2 linked regions of the Styela clava genome follow. The protein of the gene in region 2 purifies or fractionates together with the protein of the main gene of each other region. This does not show direct contact. Links are inferred from orthologs where the notes say so. Each region holds a gene or a part of one and is shown on either strand. Other genes may lie near its edges.

What was found.
Region 1: the proteins of ubiquitin-like modifier-activating enzyme 6 (region 2) and ubiquitin carboxyl-terminal hydrolase 48-like fractionate together in Homo sapiens (co-fractionation; 3 studies listed by BioGRID, with this or other methods). This does not show direct contact. The link is inferred for Styela clava from reciprocal best matches to the Homo sapiens genes UBA6 and USP48.

Annotation. Positions count from the first base shown.
Region 1 is NC_135260.1:11,603,031-11,619,181, forward strand, and holds the start of ubiquitin carboxyl-terminal hydrolase 48-like, read right to left. Parts: upstream 7,058-16,151; 5' UTR 4,340-7,057; coding exon 1,064-4,339; 3' UTR 1-1,063.
Region 2 is NC_135254.1:14,425,113-14,441,672, forward strand, and holds ubiquitin-like modifier-activating enzyme 6, read right to left. Parts: upstream 7,597-16,560; 5' UTR 7,547-7,596; coding exon 4,391-7,546; 3' UTR 3,391-4,390; downstream 1-3,390. Other genes in the region: DDB1- and CUL4-associated factor 17-like, read left to right, coding at 127-249, 636-780, 1,154-1,423, 1,812-1,997, 2,827-3,017; parafibromin-like, read left to right, coding at 14,493-14,623. UniProt on the Homo sapiens protein: Activates ubiquitin by first adenylating its C-terminal glycine residue with ATP, and thereafter linking this residue to the side chain of a cysteine residue in E1, yielding a ubiquitin-E1 thioester and free AMP.

The sequences.
Region 1 (16,151 bases), on a different chromosome or scaffold from region 2:
ATTGTTGTAACATTCAATTTTTTTTGTCGATTAAAAGATGTCCGCAAAAACTAACTTACATTCAAGTAAGTGACCTAAAATACACTATCCTATAGAACTTTTATATTTAGACTCTACGTGGTTAGTTAACGATGTGCAATTGCTGAAACGGGCACAGATTTAAAACATTGCATTAGCCTTTGTATACCTAAGCGCACATCAGGATATTAATGGTATAATTAGCCACTTGTCATGTATTCAAGTTGTTTTAAATAGCACTACAATCATCTTTATTACCAGTCTAGCATTGCCTCAATAAAGTTAACACAAAAACATATCTTCGAAAGACATAATACACAGATGGTTAGTCTTCGATGACTTACTGTAATATTCCAATAGATAACGTTTCACCGATTCCCTAGAACTTTCAGGTATATGCAAGCTCACAGTCACAGTCCTAATTAAAAGTATGATTGTCTAATAATAATTGACTATGGGTAATAATTACAGTAATAATAAATGAACAATGAACTGCAAACAAAGGTACCTTGTTGCCGATTTAAAAAACTCAATTAAAACAAGTTCATTTAGAACTTTAAATTGCACATTAGCATAACAATATTTTTTTAACTTTCTACCAAATATTGCAAATAAATATTAATTAATCAATAGATGAAACAAACAATTTGAAAAAAAGTCAGAATTTGGATAATTTCAGCTTCACGTATCCAACAGAATATTTGAGATCATTACCAATATTGTTTATAATTTTTCCAATATTTATTCTGTTGCCTTTATATATAGAAATGTTCGATCTATTAAATTTGTAATGATATTTTGTATGAAAAATAGGCCATATTAGAAATACAAGAGAGTGGGGTATAAGAAATACAAGGACTACTGACCACACCTAGAAGTTAATTCTTGAACAATTTCCCACTACTGAGGGCTCCATATAGTTTCACTTTAAAAATACTTTCAGTGAAAAATTGTACACCTTTTTTCATTTGGCTCCACTAAGAGGCAATGACCAAATCTACATTTGGTTACATGGAATGCTGTTCACATATTAATACCAAATAATTCAAGAATTAGTGAGCAAGCTCGTGCCTTTGAATCCTTCTTCTAAAACTTGATCATTATTAGATATTACAGGCAACATTTCTTGAGCATTATCATCTGGTTCATCAGCTATTAATATAATGGTACAGTTCGGTAACACTGACAAAGAACCAAGTGTAGCACTATTGTCCGTTAGTATCTTGTCTTCAAGCCAGAGATTCTGATCAAATGGTGGAACAGAAAACATATGCATGATTTTGATTTTTAGCTCTTTTAAAGTCCAGTTTGAAGACACTGTAATTTTCTTTCCCCCTGGAGTTGTATGAGCTCTCTTACTTTTCCGAACACAGTTTTCTTGAGAAGGTTTTTTGAACTCGTTGCTCCAAGATTTCATCTTGTCTAAAATCACTTTTTTAATATAAATTTCACGATCAGTATAATTACGCAGACTATGTTCCTTCTGGACTGCTCTGCCAACAATACAATCTTGACAGAGTTCGGGTGTAAAATGAAGTACAACTTTGAGGCTTGATTTTTCATTTACAATCTGATCAAGAATTACAACAGGAGTAATATTTACCTTGATTTCAGTTGATGATCCGTTTTCTATTGGTGCTTGAGGAACATTATTGTTAGATTCGATATTAGTTGCATGAGAGGATGGAGCAATTGGCACTTCTTTTAAAATAGTACCTTCTTGGTGCTCTATTTCACACTGTTCATGGTTTTTTACCCCATTCTGTTCTTCCGATACCATGATATGTTTCTTTATGGATATTGGTACATCCACAATGAAGTTTTTTGTTAAATAACCCCACTCTTCTGGCCAAAGTAACATAGTGCTTATATCATCTTTATCATAATTGTCAAAGTTATTTAAAGAAATGACAGGATCACATAGCAACTTATCATGAGGGCATATCAATATTTTGTTCTGTACCTGTGACACTACCTCGTTTTTTGAAGAATATTTGACATATTCTCTCCATTTCCGCACGAATTCAGCAGAAACGATATAAAATGAAGAATCATTTATAGCATATAAATCTTCATAATTAGGTCTGTTTTTATTGAGAAAAAGATTGTGAAGGCAAGACTTCTGTTCATGAGCCACCATCTTCTTAAGTTCTGCAGCCTGCTCAGCATCGTATTCTTTATCTTTGCAGATGTGACAAGGCGTAGCACTTGAGGTTTTGTATACGGGAGCATCAGGAAAATATTTAACAAGAATATTCCACACTGATGAAGACACCCTTCGATACTGTTTATAATCAGTAGTAAAGTTACCATGCTCACACAGTAAATCTTCATTAAAATTAAAGTCTTCATCACTACTTTCAAAACTATCTTCATTTTCGTTCCTTCTATTCCATTCATCATTGTCTTCATTTGATTGTACTGTCTGTATAATTTGATTATTTCGATTTTTCAATTCGAAAATTCTTGTTGCCATTGCTTTCCAGGATTGCAATGAAGAACGACCAATATAATAATACTCATTCTCTTCAGTTGAAGAAAAGTCTTTCAAAAGCTTACTGACAGTGGTTTGATCTTCTTTTAAACTTGACTTAAGACGAAGTGAAAAACAGTGTTCTTTTACGCATTGAAGACAAAGCATTTGGTTTGTGATACGGGGAGTTTCCTGTTCGTACATTTCAAATAGGTGGTCTGCTAAAATCTTCGGAATGCATTTCATCCCACCCACCTTGTGTGGATCCAATTTCTTATGGGTGCAAAATATTTTATCTGTTGAAAAGCTATTTTTCACGCCAGCGCTTACATTTAACATGCGTTTTAACCACATTGTCGGTACCCAATAGCAATCTGAAAGTAGCTCCGCCTGTTCCATATCAACCATTTGTTTCAGAAGATTTCCCATCACAGAATGTTTCTTTGTTTCTTCAGATGCTTTTTTTTCAGCTTCTATTATCATTGCATTCATACAAGCAAAAAAATCAGCATTGTCTTTTTCTACAGTAATTTTCGCGAGCTCTGGTATTCCAGGAGGTGACTCAATGGAAGATGACATCTGTTGTTTTTTTGTGTATACAAGCATATATGCATCTTTTGATGAGTGTGTGCCTTTATTTAGCTTTGGCTTTTTTGCTGGCTGAGGCATATCTGCCTGATAATCATCAGTAGTTAATGCATCCAAATCCAATTTTTTGCCACTTTTCATTTTCTCGATAGCCTCGTCATTAAATCTGTGCCAAAACTGTGTCGTAGAGTCCTTAATATGAGCGATATAGTGGCCTGAAGACGCGCTCGGTCCGCGATGAATCAAAACTGCTGTAAGTTCATAAACTGCATCAATGGCAGCTACATTATCAGATGTAACAAATGTTGACATGTCAAGTGTGTCAGGAAAAGATAAAAAACTAGAAAGCTTTTTTCTGTTCCAAGTTTTTTTGTCGAACACAAACCTCAGAAGCTGTAAATTAAGAGTTCGAGGTAATTCCTTAATGACAATCCTACGTGAGGCATCTCTTTTACAGTCACAGCTTGCACAGTGATATTGGTTTTCATTAATGAGTTGTTCTTCTTTGAAAAACTCCTTTAAGCACTGAATGACGTCTTTATGTCCTTGTATAGACAAATCCAGTTCGTAGAATTTAGAGGGGCACTTTGAAACATTACCGCAAGTGTTGCAAGTAGTACAGTAGTCATATTCGCCACAAAATTCGTGACAAAGAAAATTCCCAACACTTGATGTACGATCAAGTAGATTGAGCAGAAGTTTAGAAAATTCTTGCGCATCTTGTTGCAAAGCAGTATCCAATCCAAGACAATTAACAAAAGATGTTGGATCTATATTTTTTCTTTTACCACATTGTAACATGGCAAATAATAATTGAAGATGCCCACACACTGTGTGTGGAAATTTGGAATTACTTTCGGCTTTTTGATCATCAGTGACGTTTTCTTTATAACTATAAACTGCGCGACGAAAAGATAAATTATGAAACCATAGTTGCAGAAAAGTGTTAACATAACAGGTAGCTCCCAGATTTTTTAATCCAACAAAATCTCCATCTTTTCGTACTCCACTTTTTATATCCTTGACATCATCTTCTAACACATTTTGATAATTACCATCCCGAAGCCAGAAACCTTCGCCAAGGCCTCTTAGACAAATAGGATTACTGGAGCAATTTTTCCGACATGCGTTGCATTTACCCAGTTTCAGATGGTAGGCTGTATATAAATGTTCATCAGTTATCTGATCAGGTGGAACATTCTCTGTCCACTGCCACACCAACTTGCTGACGGGTACTTTTGAAATTGTCTTTTTACCCATGTCAACGAGGCGTCGGACCTCTTGTCGGGTACAAGAACAGACTTGCCCACATTCCAAAATTACAACCTTTCTATTGCCTATTTACCTTCAACAACTTCCTTTCTGCAAAAAGATAAAAATGACAATTAGATTCAACCACAATCCACTTTTCATCGACTTACTTTGGGTTTATATCTACCCACCCTTTAAAAACATCGTAAAATTTTAGTAAACTACGAATATTGACACTGTAAAATATTCTAACAGAAGGTATGACAACTCAGATTGTCATAGCAATAAAAAAATATGAATATGATACCCAAATCAAATAATAGCACTTAAATGTCGCAGTGGTGGCGATTTTACTACATTTCACCATTTCTAATGAATTGACTCTATCTTAAATATCGGAAAGATGCGTCACATGATATCCATTTTACACTATTTGTAAATCCTTTTAATTCATACCAATTCATTTAGTTTAGTGTCTAAAATAAAACTTAACAAATATATCACACATTAAGGTATACCTAATGATAAAAATATTCAAATAAAGCCGTAGATTTAAACAATATATAAGTATCTGTTCGAAAATTACGATAATCATGTAGGTTTAGGGAAAGCTGAATAATTAAAAATTAATCTGGACTTTGTTTTATTGTAAGCAAATCTAATCTAATAGAATATTAATAAATAAATAGCAGATGCCATTTCATTGACTCTAATACACTATCATCTTAACCTTCTCTTCTGAAAATTTTCACATATGTGATAAAGCTTGATATCAATTTCATAAACTCATAATAGTTTGACACAATATGTAACATGACACACATTCTTTGGTATCAAATATCGTTCAAGTTGTTAATATTATTCATACTTTACCATGGAAACACCTTTAACAAAGCAAATTTATCGTTATAAAATCAAGTAATCCTTTATTAATAACATAAAACAAGTTGTTTATTGCAATTTTATGATTCATTCTGAGCACAACAAATTTTCTTATATCTAAATACCTTAGCAAAACAAATTATGTGTGCTTGAAAAGGTGTTTTGACGCACGATTTGAATAAATAATGCAGCAATTTGAAAATAATTTTAATAAAAATGTACTAATATGAACAAAGAGGCAAAAAATAATGGGAAAAATTAACTTGAAAGTAGTTTTGTGTATGGCGGTACAGTCCATAAAAAATCAATGTTGGTTGGTCATAAATGAATGTATTCTAATGGCTGAAGCTGATTTGAAGTTGATGATAATGGAGTTGACCGACTGAACGGTAAAATGCTTACCGGTATATTTTAATAAATTTTAATTTTCACAATAAAAGCAACAAAATTATTTGTTTTAACATTATGCTACATTCATAACTGATTTCATCTTAATGTTGTTTCAATATATCAAATATCATTTTCTCATGCCCAGATGAAACCACTATACACGGCCTTATAACCGCAGTGCGATGTTTAACAACATTTCCAAATTCTAAAATTGACAAACAAGACAATTATGTTCCAACATAATTTCTCTTAAATATTAAGCAAGAAAATTTTAGATTGCAAAAATAAATAAAAACCAAACTGTTAAAACCAAAAATGAACATAATATGAGAAAACTCCTTGGCTTATTTGCATAAAAACTCTTGATAAACTAATATGAATATATTAAGCTGGTAAACAATGCAAAATCTCCGTCTTGTTTCAACACACAATAGCAAAGAAATTTCCAAAAATTTAGGGTTAGGCCCTTATAATAAAATCATTTTAGGTAATACTACCATCGATCCATGTTGATAATAGTAATGCTAGTAATAAAAAATTAGGAGCATATGTGTATATTCATGTACAAACAAACAGATATTTCAAAATTCCCTACCACAATTCATTTTCAAAATATGGTAACGTTTTATATATTACAATTTATTAATAGGTACTCAATTTTTAAACATTATTATCGTTCTAAAATATAAGAATGAATGGGGTATATCTGACGAACATCGTAGCTTATGTCTTGCGTGTAAGCTCAACAGAAATAATTACCGACTATTGTAAATACAATTGTAAATATTATTCAAACGAATCATCGTTTGTTAATGCAATTAACAACTCGTCTTTCTGACTATCTTGCCGTCGTGTAAACGCGAAGCGCGAGACCTTTAATCCACTCAAGTCATTAATATTTCAAAGACAACAGACAAGCCTGCAGTTCGCCATGGCGCCAATCAATCTACTGGCGGCGCGACGAGCAAGTGACGTCACTACGAGAACAACTATATCATTGCCAAGCTTGTCAGATCCTTCATTTTGGCGGGATTACTTATAGATCATGATTGCGTTGTAGGAAAGTTGATTTTTAAAACTGGTGTTTAGCTGTTTGCACTGAACCAGGACTACAAATTTATGAATGGGAAGAAGGCCATAAAACAGACCCCCGACACCCAGATCCTCGTAGTAAATTCAATCTAGCAAGTCTGACGATAAAAGGTTTTTAAATTTCCAATCAATTAATTGCCAAGCTTGAACTATGACAAATATCTATCTTTGCCAAGGGTACTACAGATTTGGCGTAGTAAACATAACATACGATATTTGTCGTATTTGGGTCCATCAAATGCCCACGGCAATCGATTATCAAACGGAAGACGATGTAACCGCTATCTATAGCTAATAGCATGTTGTTTGGCGCCGGAAATTTCGATATCTTGATCATTGTACAAAAGCAGCCGCCAACTGACCTGACTACATTGTATTTCTAATACAAAAGTATATTATACACATGACTTCAAATTGAGTTAATTTCCTACTCAAAGTTAAGCAAATAACCATAATATACCGCATGTCTAAAAAAACCTAACATATGCAAGGTATACCGATTTCTAAACCAAAACAATTTTTAGCGACGAAAATATCACAATTTTGAGCGGATGTGAATCTCGATTTCAAGGAAGAAAAACTTGAACTGTAAACGCCGAAATAATTAGACAGACGGAGACTGGACCAGATGTCGAGCGAACAAAAAGATAAAGCACTATTCTATTCTATCCACTATCTCCCATCAAAGTTATGTTCACAACGATTACCATCTTTTCACAAAATACCGACCAAGCGCAAGCAAATAACGTCAACTGTAAAGTAACAATCGGCGATAGTGAATGTGAATTTTATACTATAATATGATAGGTATTGTGAATTTTCATTAATACCTAGTTAAAACTGGTTAAACAATTCGATTTAAACGAAAAAAAATCAGGAAAATCATTCAGAAACTCATAATTTCTGACGACGAATTTTAAATTACGAAATAAAAAAAAACTAATCTCTTTTTTTGTGTTTCTGAACATTCCTACCTCGATTCACAGTATCATAAAAGAAAGAAATTCCGATCCAAAACTCCAATTCCGACGCGATGTAAAACCTTCAACGACTCCCGACTTTCGACAGAAGGAATTCACAACTTTCAACCCTTCGTGTTTAAACAAAACAATAAAACAAAATGGGTACTGTAATTCTATCGTATTCGTATCTTTGAACTTTGCATATACAAACACGAACGAAAATCAGATAAGACAAAAATCTATATTCTTTCATAAGCAACAGTGCGTAAATACGCGGTAACGTAATTCCGAGTCGTTGGTCGCATTGTTGTAATTTTTCGGATCATATCCACTTCCGTCATTCCACGTCTTTTCTCTGAAACCGCTAACCGCGGAAAACAAAACGTAGGTCATAAACCAAAAAAGACAATTTTTTGACGACTGAATCTGCCGGGGACAAACGAAGGTGCGATTATAAGGAAACAGCCAAAATTCTAATGTCTTATTGACATTTTTAAACCTATCCAACAAGCATTTGACCAGCGTTTCTCAAACTGGTCACTCGCACCCCTTCAAGGGCCACGAAGTGGTTCTCCTGGTGTCAAAGGTCTTCACTATAGATACCATATGCGATGATTGCATTTTTTTCTTTCTAACCAACTGTGATTTGTTTAGTTATTTGACATTATTACATTTGTTCTTTTGTTGGCTTTTTATTATTAAACAAAGTGAACAAAAGAAATTATGGAAACCCGTTTGGAATTAATTTTCAATATAAGACCCTGGATCATCGTAGGATGCTGAGAGTCTATAAAAGGAGGTCACGGAATTCTAAATTTTGAGGAATACTGTATTTTAAACGGTGACAATTTACAAATGATAACGTAGGTATATTCAATAATAATAATTCCGTTTTGGCAACAATTTTCATAAAAAACTAGGACATGGTCGCTTCGGTGTTAAATGATGGGCATACATGATCATCTATTCCGACAAGACTACATGAAAATGAAATAAGCAACACACTTTGACTGACATGTGCGGGAATTGAAAAAAAATATTTCTACTACATTTTTCATCACCGTCTGCTATAACGAACATGAAACTCAAGACAATTTAACGAAAAATATCAACAGAAATTTTTTTCGAAAACATGTGAGTTCCTTTGAAACTCGGAAGTATATTGAAATCATGAACTTGTTAAATGCAGACTTGAACGGAGGGAATTGTATATTTGATAAATATGACTTCATAAGACTAAACACTGATGTGTGGGAAATATTTCCACTCCTTGGTTGTTCTGTCGTTAATCAAAATGTTCAAACTCGCCCTTCCGCAATTCCCACCTCAGCCCAAAGCGATATCAAAACATGACATTAGGCGGCGTCAGCAGGCCTCGCAGCGGGACATTAGTCTGGGTGCAGACCGCATATATCGTTACAATTTCCCGAACTAAAAAAATATTGGCGCCTACTGATTTCTTAATGCCCTAAAGCTGACACAATGGACATATTTTATCCGACTGGAAAATTTCAATCGACATAAAATGAATTATCAAGTAAGCGTCATAAATAACTCGCCGTGCGTCGGGAAATATCTGTAGCCCATGCATAAATAAACGTAAATCGAAGTTAAAAATTGTTTCCATTTAACAAGGAATCCATTTCAACTATAAGCGATATGGTTATGTAAATCAGATTAAGACTAATGATACTCGAGAATTGTAAGGACACACGCTGTTGGGTTTTCAGAACGGCGCCAAATTTATACCGCATTGAAAGTGATTCATCTGCTTTTTAAACAAATGTGTTTGTCATGATATTTCAGTTGAATATCAAAATTTCAAACCAGATGTCAAAAAATGGTCAAAATTCATTGAGTAAATCAAACCTCCGTGACCCTTTATAAGTGATATCCACAAATCACTTTGATTCCAATTGTACAAAAATAGAGTTAATTTCCAATTTAAATTCATTTACTTCGAATTTTAATTCAAAATTAACTCTTCAAAACGCCACGCAATAAAAATTTTCCGCATTTATAGGCATTTCTGTATACTACTGTTAGTTAAATGAATACGATAAAAGATATGACTACAACAACGGACCTAAATTTGTCTTTCGTAAATATCGGATATTCGGGTCAAAGAAACATGACTTCATTTTGAAAAGTATTCCAAAACTGAAACAACGCTTATCCGGACATAAGTACCGCCGTAACCGTAAGTAAATGTTATTTCCTAAAGACAACTCCAGATTGAGCGATGTGCTACTGTTGCCAGAAAATATAACAGTTCACCGAAAATGGCAAATTCTTATACGCGTCATTTATTCAGAAAAACCTTATACTTTGGTAAATCGTAATATCCTTGATAAAGACTGAAAAATACAAGGTCCCGTTTACCTGCGCCACATACCAAAAACTCTGCAAAGTGCAAACGTAGTTACTCGTCACAAAACATCTCCTGCAAAACGCCAAACCTCAAGCTACCTAGCAGCCACACGCACGACACTGGTTTACTATTCCAAATTAACATGTTTTCAAACCACAGCCCCATGTTTATTTCAGCGCACCACCGGGCTAAGCCAAAGACGTACCCAAATCGTGCATTGCTATCATAGACCGAGCATGATGGGACATAAAAAAGCAATCAAAGTCTTCTTTCGATCTTTGAAATCGCAGGTGCGACAACAATAGACCAGGAAATACGATACTGGGAGTGACTGACAAAGACACGACCGAATCTTGATTATAAAAGAATAAAGATGTCTAAGAATGGACCCATTAAAAAAATAGAATACTAACTATGCAATGAGTTTTCTACTTCTAAGAAGCGCAAAAACAAAGTGAGTTCCAAACACGGCCAAATAATTTAACAAAAGGTATGTGTAAGGGTAGCAAAAACGACGAGGGCCAAAAGGGGCGTGTGTGGCGAACCACTGACGTCCGTCCAAGCTGTACAAAGTAACATCACAACTTGTGACGTAATAGTCGAATTTACTTTTTTTTTTTTAAATTTTGTTCGATCGACAGAATAACAAATTGAGATTCTGAAAAATATTAACCAAAATAAATTCCTAAATATTTTTCTAGACAACTCGATTCGATAAAAGTTATGATAAAAGATTGGCGATAACTTTAATTCAATTTTTCTGAATTGCACCTTCATCTAATAACAGGTGGTCAAATTAAGGTGGTAACGATTTCATAATGTTGACCACTAATTTATATAAATCGTTCGACGGAGAAGATCAAAACTGCGTTGAATATAATATTCTCATAAATTCAGCGAATTAGTAAAGTGAAGGGATAACAGTGGAAACAGAAAAATTGAATGAATAATAATAGAAACATCCCAAAAACAATTTAGCACATGTAAACATCTTTACCACATCGTGTAAATTTCCGAACGCTGAATGTAATCGGAAATATAATAGTGTAGTAATGCATAGCGCAACATTGAGCTATTGTTGGAGATAGGCTTTTGAATCGACTATTTTAATCGAATGGAATATTAAATTTTCGAATCGGTTCAGAAAAAAATTCGAATGGCCGCCATCTTGTTTCAAGGTGGATTCGCAATTTTTTTTCCATATTTTTAAAATGCAATTCTGAACAAATTCTTAGGGATGTAAGTTTCGCATATTTTATTTCTGATGTCCATATCCATCATATTGGAAATTATACCTATTCTGTTCTTAACTTCTACAAAATATTACAGTCTTAAGTCCAGCTAAAAATTTTATTATTGAGAAATTCAGGATTTCAAGACCACCATCTTGTAGACGTAGGTCGTAGAGCATGGCTCAAAACCACAAAATATTGAAAAAAGTGAAATTTCAAAAAAATGTGACTTAGGCCCTTTCTGTCTCAAATAATAAAATAATAAATATATAAAGTATTAGAGATTCGATTAGATTCTGAAATCATTAGGTATTCGAAAATGCCCAGCCCCGACCATTGTCGGAATCGTGTTTAGCATTAATAATAAATTAGTCAGTTTTTCAGAAAAGAAGATAAAGACAAATTTGCCTCATAAAGAGCGTTAATTAATGGACATTGCACAAACATTTCTGCGAAAACGGACACACAGAATTAAGAGACCGACAGTCAAGACGCCCAATAGCCTTCGTTCAGAGAAAATTTTAATTTTATACTGCTCGGCGGGGCGAAAGTAAAATATAACCGGCAAATCGGTACAACAGTAAATGTTCGCTGAATAATTTGAATTGAGAAAGCATACCACTCCCGCACAAAATATCGATGAATTCATATGCTACAGAATTATTCAGCTAGCAAAGACGAGAGGAAAAATCTTGATAACATACATATTTAACATAACGACGATGAGTAGTTATGTTTTGAAATATCAATATTTATATCAATGACCACAATTAGCAATTTTATTGGCATTTTTGAAAGTTGTCGTTTCGAAATAAGGTACCATTCACTGATTTTTGCAAATAACAAGATCGGTGCCCGATAGTCGCAAACTTGGCTTTCGATCTGATGGCTGTTTGACATAAAGCACGTATACAATATAAAAATAACACCGGCAAACGCCACTTAAGGTTTAATAAGTAAATCAGGATAAACCGACGAGGAAACATTGAGTGATCGATTAGTTCAAGCGAGTTTGGGTATAATTTATTAGGATATTTCATGGATAATTTTTTTTTATCTTGCTACATATAAGATATTAGTTTAATTAATAGGGACGAGGACAGACGCTAACAACATGAACTACTTATTCCATAAACCTGGCTTCCTCGTACGATTACCAGTCAGATCGGATGTAAAAAAATGTAACCAATTAAATATTCGTTCCAGATGCCAGCCAGTGACATGAACCATATTGCGACAGTGAATTGACATCCTATTCATAGATTTAACACGAAGCATTTGGCATGAACTGTTGTAGTGAGGGAGAAATAAAAAATGTTTCGTCTAGAGACCCCGCCAACAAACACCCCCGCCACTGAAATTAAAAAAAATTAGGGATTGGAATACAGATTGCGCTTGAAATTCAAATTTTCAAATCAGTCCAAACCGAAACCTCAAATCTCGCATTTTTCATTAGTTGCGAGGGCTCTCAACAAAAAAATCCGCAATAGAAAGATCCAAACTAGGCGCACGTAGGAATTTATCGAAAAAAGTTGGGAGCCACTGTAATAGCATATTCGGACCCGGGTGTTAGAATTTACATTTTGCATCAAGGAAATGTCATTGACGCATTCACCAGTCTGCCGACGAAGCGACAAATCGAGAATGTAGCCGACGCCGCAGCAGACGCAAAGTCCTGCTTGGTTAACTAATTGTGACCTTGAAATACTAATAATTTGATATGTAATTGTGACCTTGAATAGTAACAATTTGCATTCTGGCGGCAATGGACAAAATAACTGTTAAAACAATTCTCCTTATTTTGTCTGTACCTTTAACTTAACATGCAATACAACAAAAGTGAAGACTTCCTGAACTTGCCAAGTAATGGCAGGCAAGTGGCAATCAAATTATGTATTTATTGGATTATTGTATTGCGAATTGCATCATGTTGATATCCAAACGCAGTATTCATTTCACAATTGCAATTCGAAGATATAATTTGAATTTCATCATCGTCAAGTGGAATTGTACAACGCAGTTCATGTAAATTAGTCCAGGTCATACTTAGATCACATTTAGGTTGCCTTGATAATGGGTTTAGAACCAAGAAAAAAAATAGGAAGCACTTTTTGTTTTAGATTATTATCGTTATGGTTCGAATAACTGATGCTGCGTACTGCTCCAGTGCTTAGACAAAATAAACGTTCAGTTCATTGAGAAAATTCTCCTCTATCGAAATGGATCAAATTTGAAATATTATAAATGATACTTTAATAAGAAAATTAAAATGTATTCCGAGTAATAATTCATTAGATTTTGACCAAATATGTAAGTACATCACATGGTTAGAGCCCCAGTACGATTTATCAATCTATAATTTCTCAACAAGAAAACATATCAATGTCTTAAATGTAAGGTTAAATACAAAATTCTTTTTGCTGTTAAGAGTTAGAACACCTAGAGTGGTATTTAAAATTGAACGCCCCAATTAGAGTTCATGGCCGATATTAGTATGCTATACACTGAATGGTAAATTTATTATTTTAGTCTGATGAATTGTAATGAAAATTTGGCATTAACTAATCATGTAAACTGGTGTGATACATACACGTACCAATGTGATACATACACGTACCAATTCAACAGTTTCAGAAATGAATCAGACGAAAACACTGCCCCTAATAATTTCTGAATTGCTAACATTCAATCGTAGGCGTCTTATAATAAAGTATAATATTCGTTTAATATTAAAACATACCGGTATCTTAGATAACGTGAACCAGATTACGGTACTAAGAAAAGAGATTATGGTGATTGTCGGCCGGAATAAACCATTCGTCTGCGGGCGAGCAAAATTCTAGCAGGCGTAATACGATCGCGTTGATGTAAGAACGAATGTTGTGTCAGAATGGCGCCAAGGTACGACGCACCGTCTTACCAATGGTTTCATGAACATTTTCCGAGTGTAAGCGATCCTTCATAGTGAATTGAAATCAACAAATATGCTACGGACTGCAAAATCAACGAAGCAAATAAAAATTGTGCAAAATAATTTATTTTGCAAAATATATTCAACGTATCTCGTAACTAAGAAATATTTGTTATTAATACCAAAGAAAAGACTACTTTTCATATTGAAATAAATGACTACAACGATTCTATTTTGTGGTGTTGACACACTACATGTTGCGTGTATTATTTTACTCGAAAATATCTCTAAAGTGGCAACTTTGAATTCTCAACAAAGTATTACTAGGTTTATGTGTATGTTTACATATAAAACAGTAGCGGGGCCATGTACACCAAATGGCGATGGGGGATGTTAATACCAAGTACGCAAATTAGACTGAGTTATTATAACACAAAGCAAAAGTTAATATCAATCCATTTTTTACCAGAATAAATCTAACATAAATTTTTAACAGTATGGATTTTTGAAATGTCATATCCAGCAGCAGACATTTATGTACGACTATTAATAGTCACTCAAGTACCAAATATTGCGGTCGACAACGTCATCAGTCGGACAGGCGGGACCAAAAATATAAAAACTAGCTTTGACCACAACTACATCCTTGATATAAAACGGTACGGAAGCTATCTGGCAATGGTACGTTCATATTGTTGTCAGAAGGTCTAGTCATCTGGAAAGCATGAATCGCGACTCAAATCGCGTTCGGCTTCAACCCCATACTAGGCCGGTGTATATACATCATTTACATTTAATCCAACTATTTGTCAGATGACCGTGTTTTTATAAAATGCGAACTATGTACAAATTCACTGGCGCCAACGAGAAATGCCATGTTGGGCTTAGTAAGGTATTTTGAGGAGGTTTTCCATAACACATCAAATATTCGAGTTCTAATTGTTGAGTTGATATTTCTTGAACATTTCGTATCGTGGTATTTACCGCCGGGAAGATCAATTAGCCATAGCCATTAGCCAAAAACGTACAAATCAGGTGGATAGATATTCGATATTTCTGCATATGGAGCACATTTGTATAGTGAGTTCTCTTGTTTGATCACAATATCACAATATATGCCAATATATTGTAATCAGCGACGTACTCTGGGATGAAAATTTTGCGCATTTTAAATGTTCAAAGTGTACATTTGATTATGGCAGAGCGCTTAGGAATCGGACCAAGCCGGCGACTCGTACACATCACCCTTGATCCATATTATAATATTTACAAATTATATGTTATATTATAAAAAGAATATTTCAACGCTGTTACAAATTCTTTCGGTATAGTATGGCTGACTTTTTACGTATTGGAAATCACTAAATCGTGACATGTTGTTTATTTCTACAAAACAAGAATTACAAAACGGGGATTATAAAGGCACTCGTCGCTCGCCAGTTTGTCGCTGTACGGTAAAGCGCGTCTCGCAGGCCAGAATAAGAAAACAAAAAACTGCTGGAGCGGGGAGAGGTCATTAACCCTTTAACAACCACATATCAAAACATTTTCATGCTTTCAGAATAATACAATGAAGATAAATAATAGAAGGGTGTCACTAAAGGCAATATTTTTTCGCCTATCTCAAAAAGTATCAGACCAAGCATCACATCATATTGGAAATGACTGTTATTGGCCCTTTTCTTAGCCAAGGCACATTTCGGGTCTTGCAGAATTTTATTTAAAATTAATGGCTTATTAATAATCCCCATAATAGATTATAATATATATTACCTTATTTGCCATGAAAATATTATATCATATACATACCTAAAGTTAATAACTACACACCAAAAGCCAAACAGGGACACAAAACAAACTTAGAGAAATATGTTATGTGCAAATTAGAGTGATATCGAATAGAAAAATTTAATCAGTGCCATAACAAAATCGATTTGACATTCTTCATATCCATTTTTTTACAAAGTTACAAACGATTTCG
Region 2 (16,560 bases):
TCCAATGCAGTTTTTATATTTCTTGATGTTGTTGATGCATTTTTGATTACGGTAGTTTTATATAACTTTTGGTAGCTTTTCTGATCAACTTTTTTCATCTAATATTAAAAACTGAATCATTTTAAGGCATTGAAGCATATATTTCGTGTTGGTGGAGTGCCGTATCACTACATAGTTCCAGTTGACAACAGTTGCACTTCATGGTCTCTTCGAAGTATTTTAGATAAAAAGGAAATTGCTAAGTTTCATGTGAGTAGTCTTCGAAACACTGTTCACTGGTCGGTTACGACCTTCTCCACCATTAAGTCTACTTAACAAAAAACTGACTAATCCCATACCCAACATGGACTGGTAGCCGGACGATAAATTGGAGCTTGCCATATGATAGGCTGTTTTGTCAGCTTCCATATTCCCGGGGATAATTATGATAACTTATCCTCATGCTTGTTGGTTTTGTGAAATAAAGGATAGAAAACTAGAAATTTGAGTGCCAAGATTCTAAGGCTTTCAATTTCAAATTTCCTCCATATCATTCTTCTATCGTAGCCAATACTATTTGATTTTTGTGGTGGAAATTTAATTGTTGTTATTTCAACTTTTCTAATCTATGTTACTTTCAAACATTCAACATATAGGTGGATGAAAAATGGGATAAAAGCCATGTTGCTGGAGTTGATTTCCATTCAGATGAGAGTGGACGATTACTGTTGGTTAATAATAATACAGTAACTGTTTATAAAATTGAGGAAGAAAGGCATGCTAAGCAACGGATGGCTATTTGTAAGTTCTGTTGTCATTTCCTGGGGTACTTGTATCATATGTGTGGACTTGTATTGGTGTCTGTGTGTGATTACCTTTATCTAGCGAATTTTAGATAATGTGTCAATTGAGCCTATTTAGGCAGTGGTGGGATGAGTGGCTACGTCATATGATCTCCAGTGAGCGATACCAGCTTTAATTCTGTGTGACCTCCCCTTTCCATTAAAATTGTGTTTCATTTTTCTTAGTTATGTTTGCTATTTTTTGATGTCTGGAAAAAATAAACCCCAAATTGGACTGCCTGTACTTATAATAAAATTTTCCTCTTGCTTTTCCCTTCAAACTTGATGTACTATGTTTCCCTACTGAAGTGATATAATTACTGATTTTGAAGGTTCGCCAGACAGAACAGTATACTCGCATCGACAACAACAGAAATGCAGTCCAACTCAGTTACTCAACACAAGCTCAATATCTGAACCGGATTTTCAATTACGAGTTATTGGATCTCCTTGTAAACACACAGTAGCGAATGTCAAAAGACAGAAACTTTCAAAACACAAAACAACAAAATGTTATGAAATAGACGTATCTCATAAAAAGTCCGCAGATATACCCGAAGAAACAGAAAAGTGGATATATCCATCACAAACACCGAATTTAGGTAAATACGTACATTACACATTATGCGCTGTATTTGGGTAGTCTCTATCTATAACTATTTCCTGTTCTAGGAATATGAAATTTTTAAAATTGAAATGCTTTGATTTGTTGTTTATTCCGGAAAGTTTCCGGTTCTTGCAACTATATCAGCTCCTAGCCAAAGATGGCCACTTGTCCAGTGCAAAAAGCATAGAAATACACTTGGATGCTCCCTCCCGTAGTATGTGAACCAAGATGGCGGACACCGGAACATAGTATGTGTACAAACTTAGGGTTAGGCTACATTTGACATGAGGAATAAACTATTTATTCCTCATGATTCAGGTCTACATTTGACAATAAACCAAATTCAAATGAATAAATCTAATTTTCTTTTTTATATGTGACAGAAAATGGTCAGTCTTCTTATGGTCGGACACTCCGACAAACCAGACGCTTTGTTGGTTACAATCAAACTGAATCTGTGATTGGCATACAGTGCGTCTCATATGAAGATGAGTTGGATGTTCTAGCTGTACTTCATTTCAGAGGAATCACAAGCAGTGAATATTACAGTTTTGGAAACAAACACTATGGTGCGTATGTGATTAAATATGAAGTATACACTGTGAATAAATCCATCCATTCACTGTGGAGTTTCCATGTGAGCTAGCTAGCTCCAAGCAAAGTCACATTTGCTGGTACTCTGAAGTATGTGTACCAGATTAGGGTTAGGTTATAATTTCATTACAATTTTCCTTATTTTAGTTCTATTACGAGTTTGGAGACTAGCCAAGCGACCCGTATTATTTGTACCTAAAATTACCTGTCTACCATCTTGGTACGCATACTTGGCCCATTTGTTCACTCAATGGTAAAGTAAACTCACTTCAAAGTATGTCACTAGTGATCAATGAAATTTCATGAAAAGCTATCAAGAATTATACTGGTAAAGATTTCAACATAACTAGAGTTTTCAATGAAAAAAGTTACTCTGGCAGTATATTAATGACAACTCATATGTTAGGCTGGGGAGAGAGAGCTATATTGTTTTAGTGAAGCTGGAGACAAGTTACCTGAAATGTTAGTAGTTCAGCTTCTAACCTTCTAATTATTTTTTCGCATTCAGATTTTTCTATTAGTCCATACACTTAGTGAAATCCATCGGCATATAATGTTTATTATTCATTTAAAAATTTAGTATCTAATGTTAATTTGAAATTTTTACCTTTCATATTTATTGCGTATGGTTATAAAGCCTATGATAAGCCATTTTGATTTGAAACCAAATGTTATCAACAGTATCTGTTAAAAGCACTGGGTGTACCCTACCAGCAAAATGGGAATATATGAATTTTGTGTGTGTGGAAAACTAGCGACGCAATTCAAATATGTGTGCAATTATTATGAATATTTCGATTGCAGATCTGGTGGTCTCATTGTATGACAATGCTACTGGTGCTAGAATAAACACTGTTACTTTGGAACAAGATCTTGTGCCAAGTGATAACTGCGAAGCAAGTATTATTTTGGACGAGGATACTGTGATATACACAAGGACTGAAATGAATGACACTTCAAACTATAAAATTATGAGGTTTTGTCGGAAATATTGAATTATTTTTTATAATATTATGAATTCACTGTGATCATTTTTAATAAAACGGACGTATGAAGGCGTTGCTCCGTAATTATCTGGGCGACAATTGCTTCGTGGTATATTTGATGTTTCGGTTAGCGATTTGAATATGGACTCCAAAAGAGTTACCGTAATGGGGACTGGAAACGTTTAGGTGAATTTTAAATAAAGCGGTGTAGATTAGGACAAAAGTGACCCATTTTCTATTGGACCATGGGAGGAACGAACATAGCACGTTGATGAGAAGAATATCCTCTCTCCCCTGAGAAGATTATCCTAATAATAGTGAGTCAAGTCAACTATTCCAACAGACAATCCCACTGCAGATGACACTCATTTAAATATACATGTACATTCTCAGACTTGTGCAAACAATCATAAAATGCACATTATTTATTCAACAATTGTTCAACGCATAATTCACTTTTTGATAAATGCTGAATTGGACAAAAAATAATCAGCTGGTAATTGGAAAACGTGTCAAGTCGAAATAAAAATTCTTGAACTTGATATAAGCATACAAAAAAATAATTTTATAATCGTGACTTATAAACATGGATGATAAATGCAAATACATCTAATACGAGCCATGATAAACACAAGTACAGTGATCGATTTGCATGACAGCAAGTATAAATTAACACAAATAACTGCAATGAAGACACTGGACAGCAAGAACAATTATATGAATAACAGATTTATCATAGGATCTGCTAAAGTTCACCACACATTAATCCCAGGATGTGATGTCATCAAGCCAAATCCATATAGAGCTTGGCTGTTTATTTGAACTTGCATATGTTTCATTTCACAATAAGGTGGCTACTTATCCACAATCTTTCAGTAGCTAAGAGTTATTCAATCAACATTTGTATTATTGGGAATGATAATTTTTTCATATTGCATTCTCAAAAACCACTACAGTTGACCATACAAATATTGGACCAATTTGTATATATTCAAATGAGGCAAATCAATTTTGACCACCAATACATACACCAAAGGCAATCGGCAGTCTAATTTAAAATCATGGTTTTGATCCTTCTTTGAAGTCACTAATATCGATTATCAAATATTGTAAATCAGTATTTTTCTTTATGCAAAATTACATGGATTACCAAAACTTCTGTGTGTATGAAAAAACTATAAAGAAGTCAATTAAATCTTTTAAATATCACTGGTGTTTACAGTCTATAATATAACAATGACACTAATCGACGAGTATAATATTAAAACAATTATACTATTAAAAAACAACATTTGAAAATCATACGATATATATATAGTGCAGAATAGAATAGCTTGAATTGTGGGACACAAAAATTGCAATAACACTCAACAGAATGGAAATTAGAAATAGTATCTAATCGGTGGGCATGACAAATCATCTGAATCATCACTCGGATTTTCAAATGTTGCCGTCAGATCAACATACAGTGTATTTTTGTCTCCAATTTTAATGAGCTTTGTCATAAGGTGATCCAATCTTTTTGAATGACCAGGCATGATTGGTATATAAATCATTCTTGAGCCATGTACAACTGCTGAAATTGTGAGATTATATTTCTCATGAAAATGCTGTATGAAATCTTTTAGTTTGAAATCCTTGTTGCCACGAATCTCCCATCGATCCCAAACACTGAAGGAGAGATCTTTAGTTAATTTTGTTTTTTGAGCAGCAGCTGGTTCACTGAATAACACAAGCGGTAATGCAAGGTTTAAAAAGCAATTACGATATTTAGACAATTCTGTTTCAATATTTGAAGCACAATTTGACCAGTTCGTTCCATTTTTTTCATTATTAATGAGCTGTATTACCAATTGCAGAAACTGTATGGTCGCAAAACCTGAAACGGCAGTAGTGGTGGTAGATATAGCAGGTATGATTCGACCTGCTATTCGCTTTATTTCAAGACGATCCACATTTTCAATGCCATACATTTTAGCTCTTAGATTGGCAGCAGAAGAAATGAAATCAATATGGTGGTTCGAATCATCATCTTTTTCAAAATCTTCTGGGTATAACTTGAAAGTGAAATCACTACGTGTTTTAGCAGTAAGCATAAGCTTTTGACTTAAATCTTCGGGTGAATCTTCATCTGTCTTAGTTGGTGCTGGGGCTTTTTCATCAACTACAACTTCCTTTGTACTTGGTACCCAATCAGGCACCACTGTTTTTTCAATAGCATCGGCAATGCTCTTGGCAATCTCTTCTTGACTAATGGGACGTTGCACACGATATATAGCAGCAATTAATGATGCTGTACTAATGACGAACTGCATATGGAATGGGTCTTCGAGATTGAAGATAATCGGGGTAGGTGGACGTTTAGGTAATGACCAGAAAGGTGATCCATCCTGCAGCATAGTATCCAATGGAAAGGCTTTTAATAAATCTTTTGCTTTGTGATTAAACAACTTCTCAAACTTTCGTCTTGCATAAACGACACAATCAAACCAAGTTGTTGGTGCTTCAGATAGAAGTCTTAAGGTGACAGAGGCATCTCTTAAATTATTTCCTGACATTAAATACTTGTTGACCAATTCTATGATGTTATCTTTGTTTCCGTTTTCACGTACTTGACACCCTTCCCAAAAATTGTTGTACGTCATTGGTTTTTGTTTAAACATGACTTCAAATTTGTCTCTCGCCCATTGTATTGTATGCTGAATGTTTGAGGGGAATGATTTCAACGTACAAAAAGGAAATTCAACATCTGCTGGATCCTGCTGTGATCCATAACTTTCCGTTACAAAAGGGGTTATGATTTGCACATGACCTTTCGGTCCCATCGTCCCAGATTCCAATAAAGGACGTTGATTTGCAACACATCTTGTATCCATGTACCTTCTTGCTGCCACATTATCCAAAGCGTTGACTACGATATCCTGACTTTCAAAAAAAGCATCATTAAATACATTTTCTGAATCGGGTTGAACTTTGTATTGCAAAGGCTCAATTTTTATGTCAGGATTTATTTCCTTCACTGACAAAGAGGCTGCAGAGCTTTTGGATTGTCCTACATGGCGACTATGAAATAGAAATTGACGATTCAAGTTTGACTTTTCAATGACGTCATTGTCTGTAATCACAGCTTTCCCATTTTCAGTTGAAACTCCCAACAAAGCAAAGTTTTTTAACATTTCACAGCCAATTGCTCCACATCCAACCATAAATATGTTTAACTTCGCTAAACGTGCTTCCACTGTTTCACCCAAACATGCTTTCACATCACTTAAATCATCTGATTCCTGCATTTGTTCGGGTGTGAGATGAAGATTAAAAGCCAGCTCAGTTGCATCTAAATACAACCATTGCTTTAATGGGGTGTATTTACCAGTTAAAGCCTTCAAAACCTCTTGTGCTGCAATACCACCAATCGCAGTTGCGAGAGGCGATAATGCTCCTCTACAAGTAAAAGAAAGTAATTGAACAACTTTCTTGGCATTTTCATCATTTGGAATATCAATTTGAAACTGATTCACTGTATTGGTGAATAATGTAAACAATGCTTCAGCATCATTTTTGTTCCATAGCTTTGGTAAATTACCATTGGATTCTACAAATGAGTTAAGAGCTGAGAAAGCTGCATGGGAAATAGCAGGGTTATCCATCTTCCCAAAATCCGTCAACAATATGTCAGGCTTTAAGAGTTGTTCATCTAAAGATTGATGGGATATCGTAGATTTTTTAGTTTTTTCTTTTACCAAACCACCACCTTTGTACTGTGAATAATCACTTGTATCCCCAATTGTGAATTTATATGGTGACACGACCCGTACTTCTCGAGTTTGTCCATTTAGTTCCACCATTCCTTCAACTTCAGAAAAAGAAACACTGTCACCATCTTCCAATCCATGTAACTGATCCTCTAAGCACGTTACAGTGCCTTCACTGTTTCTAGTAATATCTCCCACAAACATTTCCTTCAAAGTTTCTCCTCTCGAATCAAGAATCTCGAAATTTTTCCCAAAGTTGCAGAACAATGATGAAAATACACCATAAACATTGCAACTTACAAATTTTAACTGACCCATCAAATTACAACTCAATTTATCGAGATACTTTTGATGAGGCAGACTACGTTGGGTTGCGATTATGCAATCAATATTTTCGAGAAATTTTGTAAACTCTTTGTGAGAATCAGCATCACCCAATGCAGCATTTTCAATATGAACATCCGAAGTTGAAACTTCGACTTGGACGTAAGGATTAAGTTCTGCAAGGCGTGGCACACAAGCTTCTGCTCTCGTTTTCTTATTTTGCAAATCCGACTGACTGACATAAAAATTGTTTCTGATATCCCGTTTTGTAACAAGTGAACTATCGGCCACATACAATTTCCCTATTCCAGTGAGAACCAAATTTTTTGCAACTTCTACGCCAAGACAATCACATCCTAATAAAAGTACATTTGCTGATGCCATTCTCTTCATTGCATTATCACCTAACATATAGCGTTGCCTGCTATATAACGAGTCATCAATTTCCATTTTGTCAGCCATAATTACCAAAAGGAGCTATTAAATACTGTAAAACAATTTTAATGAGCTTGAAGCATCTATTTTATTTCTTTAGTTAGGAAATTAGACTTGGTTCATTAAATGAATTTGGAAATCAATGATATCATGAAGAATAAATTTGAAAATCCACCCTTCAATTTTTTTTATATTATTTACGAAATGTTTTTAAGAACTAAAATTGCTTTGTTTGATCATGATATTCTATCACGAAAACTTGAATCAATAAGCTGTTAAACATCCATCCATAACATTTGAAATAAAAATTTATTCCAAGATCAGAAGATAGAATTTCTAACTAGGTATTCATATTAGTAAGAGTCAGAGAATAAAACGAGCAATAAGTTTCACAGTAAATTATGCAATGAATGGTTTTCAATGCATTTCCGTTTTCATTATTTGAGTAAACACAAATATTTAGATTTCAAATGTACAAAATATCAGTCAACAATAGTAAAAAATTATAAAAGCATTTTGGTATTTGTATCTACAGGTATATGTAATAACATATTAGGAAACCCACTTTTCAAATAGCAAAGAAATCATTCTTTCGATAAAACATATGGCGCTCCTGGTCATTTTGAATAAAAACAGTATTTCATTGTATTATGTGTTAATCTAATGCCCGATATCTGGATATAGTCAATATTTTTTATGTTTTACTTGTTTGTTGCTTATATTCCAGTATTTGTTTAATAACGATTGAAAAAATACAGAATATGTTATTTGTTTGATATTCTAAATCAGTTTATTAACATTTCAATATCGAGACTGCTACACTTGAATTTTTACCTTATTACTGTACTGTATTATGTATTGAGCCATACCAGCATACTGCCATAAAACTGATAAAGGTTAAAGACGCTCCGGATGCGCAGAAACTCAACTTAAACAGTTCTATTTTCCTTTCTTTCTTAAGTAGAAATTGTTTTAATTCAGTAATTTGTCTAATTCAGTAGTTAGACTCAGCTATATTTATGGCCTCTGCACCATGATAAAAAAAATACTAGATTACAAAGCATACGCTGAGATATTGAAAGTTACTGTACCGTACCTGTCTGCCTGTACAGTTCTGCCGTTGGCTGCGTAATTTATTTATTTGAAAGATTTGACTTTTCATTGTTTTCACACGGGGGTAAAATTCCTGTTCGATGAAAATATAGCCTACCAATCCAAGAAATCAAAGAAACAGTCGTCCAAAGTGACGTCGCCAGCAAAAGCGGAACAAGTCTATCTATCTATCAAGTCTGGTCGGGAGCATACGCTTTGGTAGGGAGTGGCCTATGGCATGGGTGGGCAATTACTTTCCAGAGTGGGCCGAATGCGGATAATAGACTTGGTTACTGGGCCGATATGATCGATGATGATATCGATATGATCAAAATCAATTAATGGGACTTCATTAAAGGGGTTGGCAAATTACGGCAGCTGCACAGAGAAAGTTGATAGAAAGAGATTCTCAACAGGTCGTGCGGAATACTTGCGAGATGTAATTCACCGGAATATAGTTTGCCGATTTTCACGTTTTAAATACCCACGTCATGCTGAAGAAAACAATGACCGATTTTAAATTTATTTTGCTCACCGAGTATGCGCAATCGCTCCTCCCTCCCCTATGGATTTTTTGCCCATTGTGTTATGCGTTTCGCGGCATTTAGGAAAACACGAAAAAATTTGCAGGCCCAAATGCTGATATATCGGGAGCTAGAGTTTCTGAATGACATAAATAATTTGGATCGATGGTTTTGTACATTATATTCAGTACTGATGATCCGTGAGGACTTACGTTATTTACTTTAGCCGACGATCCGTTATTTCATCGATATTTTAAACGGAAATTTATATCCATAAAAACAATATTCATAATTTCAGCAGGCACAAGTGGTCCGGATGAAACACTCCAGTAGGCCGGTTCCGGCCCGCGGGCCGTAATTTGCTCACCTCTAGCCTATGGTGTAATATAATATCAGCAGTGCACAAAAGTCCGAAACGACGGAAAAGGTTGATACTGAAATGAGGCAAAAAATTAAATGCCTGAAAATTGAGAGAGAGAAGGGAGGTTCATGCTTCTGCCTAGTTTTATCAACTGCCATTTGTTTAAAATGAAAATCTTTTTTGAACTCATCTGTCCTTCTACTTTTTGAAGCTGAAAATGACGCTAATTGTTCATTATTTCTTGCATCGCTTTGTTTATAAAAGCTGTAGAACAGTGGTTCTCAACCGGGGGCCGAAGGCCCTCAAAGGGGCCACGAAGCAGCTCAATTGGGGCCATGGCACAAGGATAAAAACTGATCATAACGCAACTTCGTTTGCATCCTCTCCTTTTAAAATAAAATTCTCCGTTCAGGCTTTCAACGCAGTTACATTGCCTAAATAGGTCATTTTGCGATCACAGGATGTGTTCACTTTCTTGTGCGTGAATTGTCTACTCTAATATAAATGGAATTTGGAATCTTCTAATCAAAATAGTCCGCCGGTAGCAGGGTTGCCATATTGGCTTTTTTAACCGCATTTTTGGCTTTTTTCAAACACGTTTGGCGTCTGAATTTCCGTTTGGCTTTTTTAAGTCTCTTGGAGTGTCTATTATTAAAATCATATGAAATACAATATTTAGTGTGTAACAATAGCCTATTGCTCAGCTACATAACATTTGGACTTCCCCGAGTATCGATCGAATTTATATACGCCACTACGGTATTGAAGGGAGTTCACTCATCCTCATATCATGGCGTCATATTTGAGTGGTCGTCATCAATGTGCTCAGAATGGCGAAATTGTCCCTGAAATGCGCTTCATCAAATGCGGAGTTCCAAAGGTTTCACAATTTAGGCCGCGAGCCGAGGCCCTGAAAAACGCCTAGAAAGTAAGTTTCGTAGCGCACATCAGGTATAACTACCTGGAAATGATTTTAAAATGTTCCTTAAAAATTTAGTAACAAATATTGCCTTGTTCCCACTTCCAAAAATTGCACGTTTTACGGAAAAGACGCTTTCACTACAAGAAATATGTGCTACGATCTGTCCTATATTCTCTACATTTTCGGCAATGAACAATGACTTCTGCATGACGTAACAATCGAATCGAATCAGCTGTTAGCGAGCGGGTGAATATTAGTTATTACTGCTCGACCTTGCGTTGGGTTGGGCAGCCTTTCCATAGCGCTGTTTAGTTTTTATTGGACACGTAGTGGACATAGCGATCGTTCCAATATTATTTTGTTGTTGTTCTTTGTGTCCTTGTTCTTTGACACGTTTTGAAGAAATCGCTTTTCTCTTCGAATACTGGACCAATGGTTTTGAAATTTTCAGTGGTTGAAGACAATAATTTTCTCCAGAAGGCTCTTACTTTTTTTTCATCGTCATCAAAATTATTCCCACTGGGTAGCGCTACGTGTCCATATATTTGAAAATAGCTCTCTTGTTAGTTAAGTTATGCTGAGACGTTGTTGAAAAATGTATAAGTAAGTTATTAAACACTTGTAGCTCCTTACCACGGATATGGGCCGTGAGACGAAGTCTTGAAAACGTCCAGAAATGAGTTTGTAGCGCACATCTGGTAAATAAATAAATTCTTCAGTTTTGTTTGAAAATGAACTTCAGCTTGTTCCCCAATCCTGATGCGAAATTGAATATTAGAGGTTCCCGGAAATTCAATAACCATAAGTTTACAACACATACATGAGAACCGACGACTAACGATAAGAACTTCCCCGTCATTGTCACAGCATTCTTTTGCAGACAAAATCAAACGCTGCGTTGTTTGCCCGCGGCGTAAAGAAGCACTCCAGGTGTCGTCGTATTTTATTGTTTCCCGGATACGAGATGAAATACACGACTGCACAGACGCTCCATCCATTAGCCTTGACTGCAATGCGCCGTATAATACATCCACGTGATAGAATATTGTGGAGAAAAAATGAAAACTCACCATCTTCTAGCAGACGCTTTAGACCTGCCGCCTCCCTCACAGAGCGTTCGTCCCAAACCGGAGAGCTCTGAATGCCATTGAAACACTCAATGAGCTCAGACCTAATTTCGGACACGCCCTGCACCACGCGTGATTGGAAGTTCTAACGTGTTGGTGCACAAGCTGGGAGACGGCGGCTACATATCTGGCGAAGGAGGTCAGAGCGCTTCGGCGAAACGGGAAAAAAATGAAAAAAACCCGAAACATTTGCAAAAAATATACGGACGAGAGGGGTATCAAGACACATATTTTTAATAACGAGGTTAAATTGGTGTGCATAACAATGTAAAAAATGCGCATGAGGAAAATCTTCTTTTATATAAACTTGAACACCATGTTTCGACCCACTCATGACTGCCGCGCCGTCTTAAGTTTGAGCAGTTGTCTCGTCAGACTGAATCGAAAGGAACTGGCAATTCTCAATTTCCAGAGCCAAATGTTGTAAATAAATTTTATACATTGAGTCGATCAAATCATTTTGGATATCCTCAGATGTTCCTTTCGAAACAGTTGCGGCATCAAGATGATCTCTCAATACTGTATCTAGGGATGCGGTGTTTTCCACCATATCCAAAAATACCCCTATTAGAAGAGCCAGCCCGTTCATCGTGCCCACGGAGGGACAGCTCGTGACAACAAATGAACTTCAAAACATCTATCAATCGACGGAGAACATGGCGGTTTTTCTCGACGTTTTGGTTGTGCCGACGAATAGAAACCGCGCGTCCTTCATCCAACTGTGCTGCAATATTAACATTTCCGAATGTTCGGTATTTTACTGCATTGTCCAGATGCTCCATAGAAGATTGATGATCCCTGGCACGCTCGGAAAGATGTTTAAGATCTCTAAAACCAAATTTACACCAACGTGAGTCACGGGCGGTAGCAAAAAGTAGGCAATAAAAACAAAAAAGTGCATTTTTGTCCTCGCTGTAACACAACCATTCGTGTTTTTTATACCAAGTTTCTGCGCAGAATGTACGCCGACGCGTTCCTCCGTCATGGGATTGTTCCAGTGAACAATTTTTTGGTTGATAAGGCCTAGGACGTTGTACCTCTAATTTTTGTTCCAGCGGCAGCTGCGAAAACGGAGTGCGAAGTAGTGCATCAACCTTATTCATTATGAGGTCTGAGGCTAAGAAATGCGAAGCCGGAAAGAAATGAGGAGCTCAAAAGGAATGTGGAAAATCGAAAGCAAATGGACTAAAGGTCTCTAACTGATTCAAATAGCGAAACAAGCGACAAAAACGAAGGCGAGGAAACTATCAACTCTTAAAGCAACCAACAAACGAGAAGGAATGCGTGAATATGTCAACACGTTGTTGTAAGAAACGTCGGCATTGTGTCGTCATAATTTCGGGGCTAGCCCCGATGATTTAGTAAAAGAAACAGAAAACAAACGAGACAAACGCGGCGAGTGGAAGATAAAAGAGAGAATACGATATACAATGAGCAACCGGGGCAAAATCGGCGTCGCCCCGTCGACGTTCGGCGAAGGCTTTGCGAGCGAAAAATGAACCATGTCGGGAGAATATGGCTAGTGTAGACAGTCTGTGCAACCGATATTGTGGTATTTTTAGGATAGGATAGGATTTACATATTTATCCCGGGGGAGAGGAAAGCCGATAAGACGGCTTATCCATATGGCGAACCACGGCCTCTCGTCCGGTTACCATTCCAAGTCGGGTATGGGATTAGATTTACTGTATTGTTTGTTTTCGGAAGCATGGACTTGGTGGTGGAGGAAGCCGTAACCGACCAGCGGTTACGTGAACCACCCAACGACGGCGAGGAGTCCAGCAATCCTCTCGCACATAACCATCCCTGCATGGGATTCGAACCTGCGAACCCACGCAGAGTAGTTAGAGGTGCGGTGGCGAGCGTATTCCTAACGCTTAGCCCGTTGAGCCATACCGCCGCGCGGAATCATTTTTCGAATATTTTTTATTATACCAAAAAAACAACCGGGGCATTGCCCCGGTTGGCTCTATTGACGCGCCGCCACTGCATTAGTCTTTTTTTCAGTTTACGTGGTTAGGTATTTGAACAAAGGCAATATTATTTCTAGAAACAGGACTGAAACTGAAAGATAAATGGCCAAGGCTCGAGGCCTATACCTTAAAGCGATTTCCCGTCATTCCCGCTTCTTGTGAAATTCCCGCTTTCTAGTGAAATTTTCCGTAGTTCCCGTTATTCCCGTAGTTCCTGCATTTTAGTTTTGGCAATTTCCCGTCGTTCCCGCATTTTGGTGCATTTCCCGTTTCCCGCATTTTAGGGTTGCCCATCCAAGACGCGTAAACGAGCACCCGAAATCGAACAGTTATTTCTCTCGTTTTCTCGTCGCAACGATTCCAATAGGAGAGAGATCGATAACGTCAGTCAGTTCTTTATAGTCGGCGCCAATGCCATTTCGGGTGACTGTACGTATATTTGGCAAGCTCTATGACGTGATTGTGATGTCGTAGTGACGTAATTTTTGGATGGCGTAGGATTGACATATCAAAAAATTGTTATGCTACACCCACTAGAAGTACGTTAGGTATGAAACTACACGTGACCCAAATTTTGCGTCCGGGAACAATTTAAAAACCGGAATTTTACTGCATCTGCAATCGTACTGTGCACACTGCTAATAAAGAGCATTGTTATTTCGTACCGGGCGCATATTTTTTACTACGAGGTCATGAACTGTCCGGAATTTTGCTTTTTCAAATATTGCGACCCTGCGGTAGTTACCATACCGGTATGGTTTCACGCACAACACTGCTATTAACAGCATAATGCAGTAATGAAGTTCTGTTTTCGTTTGTAAGATTTGTAGTAACATTTATTTTCAATTTGTTAGAGAGAATTATCATAAATCATATCATAAAAACTGATAATTATAGAATTATTAAACAATATTTATCATATGTAAAATACCAGAATTAGTAAATTCTTTTGCTTTGGACACTCAACTGTCAAAATGGCAGATGCTCTCAGCATTCTACGAGAATACAATATGGCGAAGAAGAAGATTGAAGAACGTGATGGCTATATCACTTTCGGAGACTTCTCATGGCCCAAAAATATAAAAACTAATTATCCAATTTGGGGGTGAGTGACTACTTACTGATTTTTCATTTCTTATTGTTCTGGAAGGTACCGTAAAAGCAGGTAACTTCGGATGATTTCACTATATTATGAACAATTTCTCCGCCGTTTATTGTTCAATTGAAGCCAAACTTGGAATATAATACATTGAAGCCTTTCTCCTCGCGATAAACTCGGTTTCATATCAATCAATACTTTTTTTCATTCAAATTATTGACTTTATTTGCCTGCCGATCTGTATTCCAAATGTTTATAACTTCGGATGGCCACTTTTCGCTTTGCGTCACTTCGTCGTGAGAGAGAAATGTCTGCGTGATCAGTGACGCGTGATAACGTCGCTGCGTAGAACTTACGACGCCGTGATTCGTTTTGCGTGTCGCACACTGACGTTCATCTATGACGGCCGTTTTTGTGATTATTAATTCTTCCGGGTCGGCGGACATCAAAGTTTTATATATCTGGTGTACCCGTGTGTTTACATCGGCAACAGCTCTTGAAGACAAGAAGGACTGATTTCAAAACCCAAATTAATTTTGTTCTGATTTAATCTTACGTGTTGGCTTTGATCTTACTTATCACCGTTTGTATACTATTAATCGTTCGAGTTTAAAGCGAACGGTGATATTATTATCGTCGCCGAGATGGAGATATTTATTAAGACGATGATTGATGTTGTTATGCTTTGCACCCGCGATTGTGCGAATACTGAATTTTTATTTATAATAATGATTGAATAAATCGGCCGTTATGCATTTATACTTGTCATAAGGCTTTTGGTCCTGATAGCGGGTCGGACACTAATTATAACTATTTCCCTCAAGTTTTAACTTTTTTTTTGAACAAAACAATACCTCAACGGTTATTATAGCTAAAACCGTTACCGACTAATTCACAATTTTATCTGCGGAATTTGCGAACTCAGCACTTTACTCGACGATTTTGACAGTGTCGCGCCATAATTATTACCGCTAAATGCTTCAAAATACAACGCATGTAATAATTTTGCCCAGCCCTATTCCTGACGTTTCGCAAAACTAAACCATTTATCTCTTGACTATTCTTAATTTCATGAAAGTGCTATATCTTGCTATTATGATCGTTTCAATACGAAACAAAAATGAGACAACATGGGACAAATGAAAATAAAAAACGGACGAATAAAATAAGTCGTAAAGGTAAAAATGGAAAACAATTTTTAATACAAAACAAAAATGAAACGAATGAAAATAATAAAAAAGAAAAATGGATGATGAATTACGGTAGGTAGTAAAAGTAAAAAAAATGAAAGTGGACAACAATATGGAACAGTGTAGCTTGTGGCCGTGTTGATAATTCAGATATAATGTATTCACAGGCAGATAGACATGAAACGGATAAAAACGCCAAAAACCTCCAATCTCCTGCTGTGTGCACCTGTGCAGAGTTTCATGCTCACCTGTGCAACATTCTACTCTTAATATATTATCATCGCCGATCGTAAAACCTTGTCATTGTGATAGTATAGATACGCGTATCTGGCTGTTCATCAGCCTTACGTATCAACAACATCTATACGGTCGAAGAATGCCGAAATGTTAACACACAAATTTAATGTGCATTAATCGGATTCACAATAAATAAACAGCATATGACCGGGGCTATAATTAAGTTTTTGTAGGATTTGGTGACGAGGATCAGGTAGGAGTTTTCACTTTATATTTAACTACACGTGGCGCCACATAGTCTGGCGTTCAAATGTCGCAGCGAGTTACGCACGAGCTACGCAATGTGACGTCGGCCTTAAATGGAGCGAAATTGAATCACGTTGTTGACGTCACGTTCAGCGTAAGCACCGTAACGTCGATATTTTAACGAAATTTTTAAATCAAAATAATATATTTTACTTGAATCTCGTACGACATCTCGTGATCACTGTAATTTTCCTTGTACATTGTGTATGC